2 linked regions of the Caenorhabditis elegans genome follow. The protein of the gene in region 2 purifies or fractionates together with the protein of the main gene of each other region. This does not show direct contact. Each region holds a gene or a part of one and is shown on either strand. Other genes may lie near its edges.

Evidence for each region.
Region 1: the proteins of grd-10 (region 2) and H39E23.2 fractionate together in Caenorhabditis elegans (co-fractionation; one large-scale study listed by BioGRID). This does not show direct contact.

The regions. Positions count from the first base shown.
Region 1 is NC_003283.11:14,108,369-14,112,823, reverse strand, and holds H39E23.2 (T20D4.11-like domain-containing protein), read right to left. Parts: upstream 2,483-4,455; 5' UTR 2,464-2,482; coding exon 2,290-2,463; intron 2,030-2,289; coding exon 1,925-2,029; intron 1,704-1,924; coding exon 1,527-1,703; intron 1,071-1,526; coding exon 963-1,070; intron 917-962; coding exon 797-916; 3' UTR 778-796; downstream 1-777. Other genes in the region: Serine/threonine-protein kinase par-1, read left to right, coding at 1-22; H39E23.3 (Neurofilament heavy polypeptide-like), read right to left, coding at 2,773-4,455.
Region 2 is NC_003282.8:3,439,340-3,442,587, reverse strand, and holds grd-10 (Ground-like domain-containing protein), read right to left. Parts: upstream 1,534-3,248; 5' UTR 1,411-1,533; coding exon 1,332-1,410; intron 1,178-1,331; coding exon 948-1,177; 3' UTR 747-947; downstream 1-746. Other genes in the region: F09D12.2 (Peptidase_M13_N domain-containing protein), read left to right, coding at 1-161, 205-285; grd-3 (Ground-like domain-containing protein), read right to left, coding at 2,256-2,441, 2,492-2,808, 2,867-2,909; grd-13 (GRounDhog (hedgehog-like family)), read right to left, coding at 3,171-3,248.

The sequences.
Region 1 (4,455 bases), on a different chromosome or scaffold from region 2:
AGCCCAAGAGCTGAACCTTTAGAGCTGAACCTATTGATGATTGTTCTTTTCATGTTTCATTTGTCGCCCCTTCACTCTCTCTCTCTAACCGCCTCACGTTTTTATCCATGTCTCGATATTCTCGCTTCTCTCGTCACCCAACACATCATCAGTCATTGTAAACTGAAATTCAGAAATTTATGAAAAAAGCAGCGATTTCAGTGAAAAATTGCTGAAATTAACTTCTGTTCAATTCGTCTCCTCCTCCCAATTCAACAATCCCCCTCTTCCAGTACGGTTTTCTCTTTTTTTTTTGGATATTTTCAAATTCATCGTTGTAGGTGATTGCTCCCCCCGTCCCCCTACCGTATCCTTGTTTTATAAAACCTCTATTTTTGTGTCTTCATCGTCGTCGCCGCTTCAAATTGCATTTTTCTTTTTCAAACCCATCGTTTCATATTTCGCGCCTTCCCCCCGATGATATAACCAATCCATCTTATCTTATAAGTTTTCTCGATATCCCATTGATTTAAATATTATTATAATTATTATTCGATTATTGACTACTCTTCTTTTTTTAAATTTTTTTTCTATGTGTCTTTTAGGGTATTCATCGCGTTTTTTCTTCCTTTTCTTTTTTCATATTTTATTTTTCTCCCTTCCCACCCCAGACTACCCATAACTTACCGTAGTCCCCCCTGTCCCCATATAATTCTCCATACAACCCTCACAACATTTTCCCTTGTCTCCGAAACATTTGTTTTCCTTGCGCCCTCTGTGATGATCAAATGAAGAATTGTAAATTATTAAATGTTTATTATTCTATTTCTACAGAACTTCCAACTAGATCCGTCGCATTGTGATCCTTCAAATCTTCCATGTCTTTGAACTTCAATCGCCCATCGCAACCCAAATTGAACATACGAGAATCTTGATGCTGGAACGGATTTTAATTTTAAATGTAGAATAAATATATTGGAAACCTCTTTAAATATCGGTAGAAAATTCGGTTCACAGTAATTTTTAACGTCCGGTAGAAGACAATTTCCTAAATCCTGGGCTATCTCGCAAGTCCATTTCCTTGTCGGAGTCTGAAAATAGGACGTTACAATTGCTTTTTTAAATTTGGGAAAATGTGGGGCTTCATTGGGTCTCACCACGATCTCAATTCTGCGAATTTCACAAAAATACACAAATTACTATTAAACATTTTCAAAATACCGTGATGAGTAATTGAAGGCGCACAGGTTTATTTGGATGGGTCTCGCCACGAGAAAAATTTCAAATAACAAATTTTTTCTCGCGGCGAGAACCTACCGAATAAATCGGTGTGTTTTTAAGTGCAAATATCAGAAAATGGAAAAATTACAATATCGTCCGTTTGCGGAAACGTGACAGTAAGTGATAAATATTCCATAATAAATTCATGTTTTCTCTGTACATTTCAGAAATTGACATTTCAAAAACTCCACTTTCCACATCAACTACGCAAGTATCTAAAATTAGGCACAAATCGTGGTGAGACCCACTCAGATAAATGCACTCACCGCATCCAAGTGTTCCTTCACGCAAGACGATAACTTGTCTGGGAAATTCTTTGCAACATCTCTTAAAGTAGAATAGCAAAAGCTCATTGGACCAATATTGAATGCATCATGAGAGCATCTATCCAATGTCTCAAATAGGACAAAGTCCTTGTAGCATTTTGTATTTTCCATACAGGTCTGAAATAAGACGTGACTCAATTTAAATTAGTTGTTCAATCATTTTAAATTAGCCAAAAACATTGTTGAATTTCCGTACTTATACGATTGCTTTGTTAAAAAAACAATATCTTCTAATGTCGGTGCAAAAACCGCGGAGCGGTTAATTTATTTCGGTACTTCATCAATAACATTTCAATTTTCATCAGAATAAGGTTCCAGAAAAGTACTCATGACCTTACATAATACTTATCACAATGTGCTGTCAATTCTGTCATATTCCACGTTTTCGTTTGTTCGGGATACCAAGAGATCGATGTTCTTCGGAACCATGATTTCATTCCTTCCTGGAAAATGGAAATTATAGAGCTTTTTGAATTGTTTGTTTTAATAATTATGGGTCGAATTTAATTTAGTTAGATTACTTTTAAATTACTGTATGTAGGGTGTTGTGTTACAACAGCGATACACTTACAACAGTTAACACGAAATTGCAATTTTGAACTTTTGAAGCTCAAAACTAGCGATATTGTTGATGTAATTCAATTCTCTCGCAACAAAATTTGAAAGATTCATAACTATTTCTATTGTCAAATGGAGAACGAACCCAGAACCAGCACCGACTAACTGCATTCCTTCCAACTGGATCATCCTGTTGCAAACAGGAAACTTTCAGACGATTCTTTTCATACCAGTCATGTCTATGTCCAGTCCGGAATGCACATTTCAAAGAGGGCACAAGTAAAAAAATAAGAAATATAATAGTTGATGAAAACTTCATTTTTTGAATATGAAATCTTCGAGGAGAGTGGAGAAATCGGATGCCAAAAGATTGGAAATCAAATGTTAAGAACAGCTGTTTTCTTGAAAATTTGATGTAAACAGCATGATGAATCTGACTGAAAATGAACCTGAGCAATGGAGAACATAGATTAAAAAGCTATTTTCAATTTAGTTTGTTTGTATTTTTCGAAAACACTACAACGTAGTTGTGAAAAATGAGTTTATTACAGAACTATATGCACAATAACATTTCATACATGTTTTTATTAATTCAAAAGATACTTTCTCGTCGAAGTTCCATATCGAGTTAATGTGGTAGTGGAACCTTGTCAGCAGATTCAGTCTTTGGCTTATCAGCTTCTCTCTTGACTGGGGCCTTCTTCTCAGAATCAGCAGATTCAGTCTTTGGTGGATCAGCTTCTCTCTTGGCTGAAGCCTTCTTCTCGGAATCAGCAGATTCAGTCTTTGGCTTATCAGCTTCTCTCTTGGCTGGGGCATTTTTCTCGGAATCAGCAGATTCAGTCTTTGGTGGATCAGCTTCTCTCTTGGCTGGGGCCTTCTTCTCGGAATCAGCAGATTCAGTCTTTGGCTTATCAGCTTCTCTCTTGACTGGGGCCTTCTTCTCAGAATCAGCAGATTCAGTCTTTGGTGGATCAGCTTCTCTCTTGGCTGGGGCCTTCTTCTCGGAATCAGCAGATTCAGTCTTTGGCGGATCAGCTTCTCTCTTGGCTGGGGCCTTCTTCTCGGAATCAGCAGATTCAGTCTTTGGTGGATCAGCTTCTCTCTTGGCTGGGGCCTTCTTCTCGGAATCAGCAGATTCAGTCTTTGGCTTATCAGCTTCTCTCTTGGCTGGGGCATTTTTCTCGGAATCAGCAGATTCAGTCTTTGGTGGATCAGCTTCTCTCTTGGCTGGGGCCTTCTTCTCGGAATCAGCAGATTCAGTCTTTGGCTTATCAGCTTCTCTCTTGACTGGGGCCTTCTTCTCAGAATCAGCAGATTCAGTCTTTGGTGGATCAGCTTCTCTCTTGGCTGGGGCCTTCTTCTCGGAATCAGCAGATTCAGTCTTTGGCGGATCAGCTTCTCTCTTGGCTGGGGCCTTCTTCTCGGAATCAGCAGATTCAGTCTTTGGTGGATCAGCTTCTCTCTTGGCTGGGGCCTTCTTCTCGGAATCAGCAGATTCAGTCTTTGGTGGATCAGCTTCTCTCTTGGTTGGGGCCTTCTTCTCGGAATCAGCAGATTCAGTCTTTGGCGGATCAGCTTCTCTCTTGACTGGGGCCTTCTTCTCAGAATCAGCAGATTCAGTCTTTGGCTTATCAGCTTCTCTCTTGACTGGGGCCTTCTTCTCAGAATCAGCAGATTCAGTCTTTGGCTTATCAGCTTCTCTCTTGGCTGAAGCCTTCTTCTCGGAATCAGCAGATTCAGTCTTTGGCTTATCAGCTTCTCTCTTGGCTGGGGCCTTCTTCTCGGAATCAGCAGATTCAGTCTTTGGTGGATCAGCTTCTCTCTTGGTTGGGGCCTTCTTCTCGGAATCAGCAGATTCAGTCTTTGGCTTATCAGCTTCTCTCTTGACTGGGGCCTTCTTCTCAGAATCAGCAGATTCAGTCTTTGGCTTATCAGATTCTCTCTTGGCTGGGGCCTTCTTCTCGGAATCAGCAGATTCAGTCTTTGGCTTATCAGCTTCTCTCTTGACTGGGGCCTTCTTCTCAGAATCAGCAGATTCAGTCTTTGGCTTATCAGATTCTCTCTTGGCTGGGGCCTTCTTCTCAGAATCAGCAGATTCAGTCTTTGGCTTATCAGCTTCTCTCTTGACTGGGGCCTTCTTCTCAGAATCAGCAGATTCAGTCTTTGGCTTATCAGATTCTCTCTTGGCTGGGGCCTTCTTCTCAGAATCAGCAGATTCAGTCTTTGGCTTATCAGCTTCTCTCTTGGCTGGGGCCTTCTTCTCGGAATCAGCAGATTCAGTCTTTGGCTTATCAGCTTCTCTCTTGGC
Region 2 (3,248 bases):
AAACAATCATGAGTAGTTTGTGCGTCCAAGGCAAACCGAAAAACACCGTATGCCGCAATCATCATCCCTTTGAGCTTTCTCTCAACACCGCTGTTCGTCAATATCCACTATTCAGCTCACTTTACGGATGTCGTGCCGGTGATCGGATGTTTGCTAAGCGGGTAAAACTGATGGATGTATTCTGGATGATAAGTGATATTTCAGGAAGAGTTCTGTAAGCCGCTGGGTGGCGAGGTAAACTTGGAAGACTATAAGATCAAACATGAAACGGAGGACGTTGGTTGATTTTTGAATGATTTGATGGGCACCGCAAAGAGTTATAATTTTACGTTTGAAGCTTGAGATTTTGCAAATAAAATTTTTTATTTAACACTGCCAAAAGTTAATGGTTTGATAATGGTTGGTAGTTGCCATTAAAGGTGGAGTACCAAAATCTGAGACTGCATTTTCAGACCTAAAATGGCCTAAAACGGCCTAATTTTGGAATGAAATTGTCTCAAAAAACGTTATGATAAATCAAAATTTTGAAAAAAAAGACTTATATTCGAGTTGAGAAGTTTGAAAAATTTGACATTTTTGCCGAAACTATACAAAACTACTAAACTATTAAACTACGAAGTTCTTATTCTACTTAACATTTTTACTGCCCATTTAATAGTTTCAGTCGATAATATGCTTCTAAAAAGCTTCGGAGACTTTCATAAATTTTCGAAAAAGATCCAGACACTGCTAGTGGAATTCTCTAATTCTGCTTGAAGTTTCATACCTACATATTTCAACCAAACCATCAATGAATACATTTCAAATCGAAAAACTTTTTAAAAATTCTTTTATACAAAAATGTGCCAAATTGAACCAATAGTTGCGGGGGGTATACAAATATTGAGATAGGGTAAAAGAAGATCGTCAAAAAGTCGCTGAAACCAGTAAAAACAAAATACAAGAACTTATGGCTGCCAGGCAAGTGCATACTGTCCGTCCTTCTCGACTTTGCACGATTTTCCCTCCTGGAAGTGAGATTTGTAGGCGAAATCATCATGGGCAACGACGGTCTCGAACTTTCCACCCAACGACCCTTCTGCTCCCTTTTGAATGTCCCCGGCAGATCCGACAAGGTCACTTCCTCCCAACGAGCTTTTCATGACGGACTCGAGCTCCTTGTTGCAGCATGTGAAGCCTGAAAGTGTCCGTGTCAATTAAAATTATAATAAGCCTAATCCTAAGCCTATGCTTAAGCTTAAGCTTAAGCCTAGGCCTAAGCCTGAGCCTAAACCTAAGCCTAAGCCTAAGCCTGAACCTGAGCCTAGGCTTACACCCTCATAATTACTTACCTCCCTCATTAATATAACAATTGTCCTGTGCGAAGCAAACAGTAACGGCCAAAGCGGCTAGCACGACGAGAGAGCGCATTTTTTAGACGTTGAAGACGCTGCAAGGAGGCTCAAAACTGTGCGGACAGTCCTTATATAGTAAAAGATGCGAAATCGAGATAGGTATGGTACGGCGAGTAGTGGGAAAATAGCTTTGATGATTATCTTTGGAATTTTTTCGCCGGGGGCGGCGCTATTTCAAGATCAGATTGTGAGTAGGTCCTCAAGGTTAAAGTGTCAACGTAAAGGCGATTTTTGAATTTGGGTCTTTAAAAACAAATCTAAGAAATAGCTGATCAAACTTAAAAGATAATAAGAAATTTGGTAGAGATGTTGTGCACTTTTCTTCAGAAAAAGATTTTTAAAAAAGCGTCACCCTAATCCTAAGCCTCAGTCAAAACCTGAGCCAAACACAAAGCCTAAGCCTAATCCTAAGAGTAAAATTAATCCCAGTCTGTAGTGGAGATAGCTCGGCTCCAGAAGTTAAAAGGTCCACGACAAGATGTTTAAAGGCTTTGGGATTTAGACGGCGGGCTTTCTCCGATGTACAATGCTCTGAAACTACAAATTGCTGATTCCATAGAGTTCGGGTTCTGAGCTCCATCCTGGATCCTCCATGATGCTCCATCCACCATGAGATGCTCGAAGTTAATCAGTCCTTGGCCACTTCTAAAGCCTTTTTCTGAAGACTCTGGGCCCTTTTGGAACACAAGAAGGCACACCTGATCCGTGCATATTTCAACAATGTTTTAATAACAATATATATGATTTTTAAATGCTTTATTCATAAAAAATCTGGTTTCAGCGACAAAAAGATGACGATCCCCGTAATGTTTTTCATTTTACAGCAGGCAATGGTTCCACTTGCACACATTTTGCAACGTCTTAGCGTCCGAAGAATCCTCCAGCAAGGCCGCCGGCGACAGATCCAGCGGATCCACTGAGTCCTCCGGTGGCGGTGTTGGCAAGTCCGGAGAATTGCTTGAGGTGCTTGGAAACTGATGGCAGACGGAGCTTGTCGTTGAGAGCGAACTTGTTGAAGTACTTTTCTCTGGAGCTGTTGATATCGTACTGAAAGATTCAAGAATTAGCCGGATCTCTCTGAAATCTAATAAACTTACTTTAGCTGGGGTCTCGTAGATGGCCAAGGTGTAACTGTTGGACTGGAACTTGCAGAGACTGGTGCCATTGTAGTGTGTGTTGAGCACAAAGTCCTTTGGAGCCATAACAATCTCATAGGCAGTTTTGAAGTGTTGCTGAACGAAGGTGCTTAGCGCCTGAACGATTGGTCCAAGTGTTTGTGGTCCACCAGCTCCGAAGAGGTCCAGGGTCTGCATTCCGGTCTCCACGACGGTTTTGATGGTGCTATCACAGCAGAACAGCTGGCCAGGCTTGGCAAGCTGACGATCCTTGAGTGATGGGCATGTGTCGGATTGGGCTGAAAAGGATCACGGAGTGAAAGTGTACTGAAAGTGTTGAAATTCCAGAAAAAATACCTCGAACGGCTATAACCGCGCCAAGAAGGAGTAGAAACTTCATCGCTGCCGAGCTGAACACTGATCCTTCCAGCGCCGGCGCCGTCCCTTTTATAGTGAGACCTTCGATGACCTCGATGAGTGTCGCGCGATAAGGGATGTTTGTGTCTTCCGTTCAAGAAGATCGGCGCCGCTGATTGCCCAGTTTGTGCCTTGGTGCCGAGGTCAAGAGTTTTTTTCGTAAACATTTATTTACAGAAAGATAAACATCAAAAGGTAATAGGAGTAAGGAGTATTTTTGAAAGAATCGTCGGTATCTTGTCACTCAAACGTTGCGTGGATCCTTTGGAAGGTCGGCAATGTTGGCGGACTTTCCGAGAGCGGCAAACTCGGCAAACTTCTC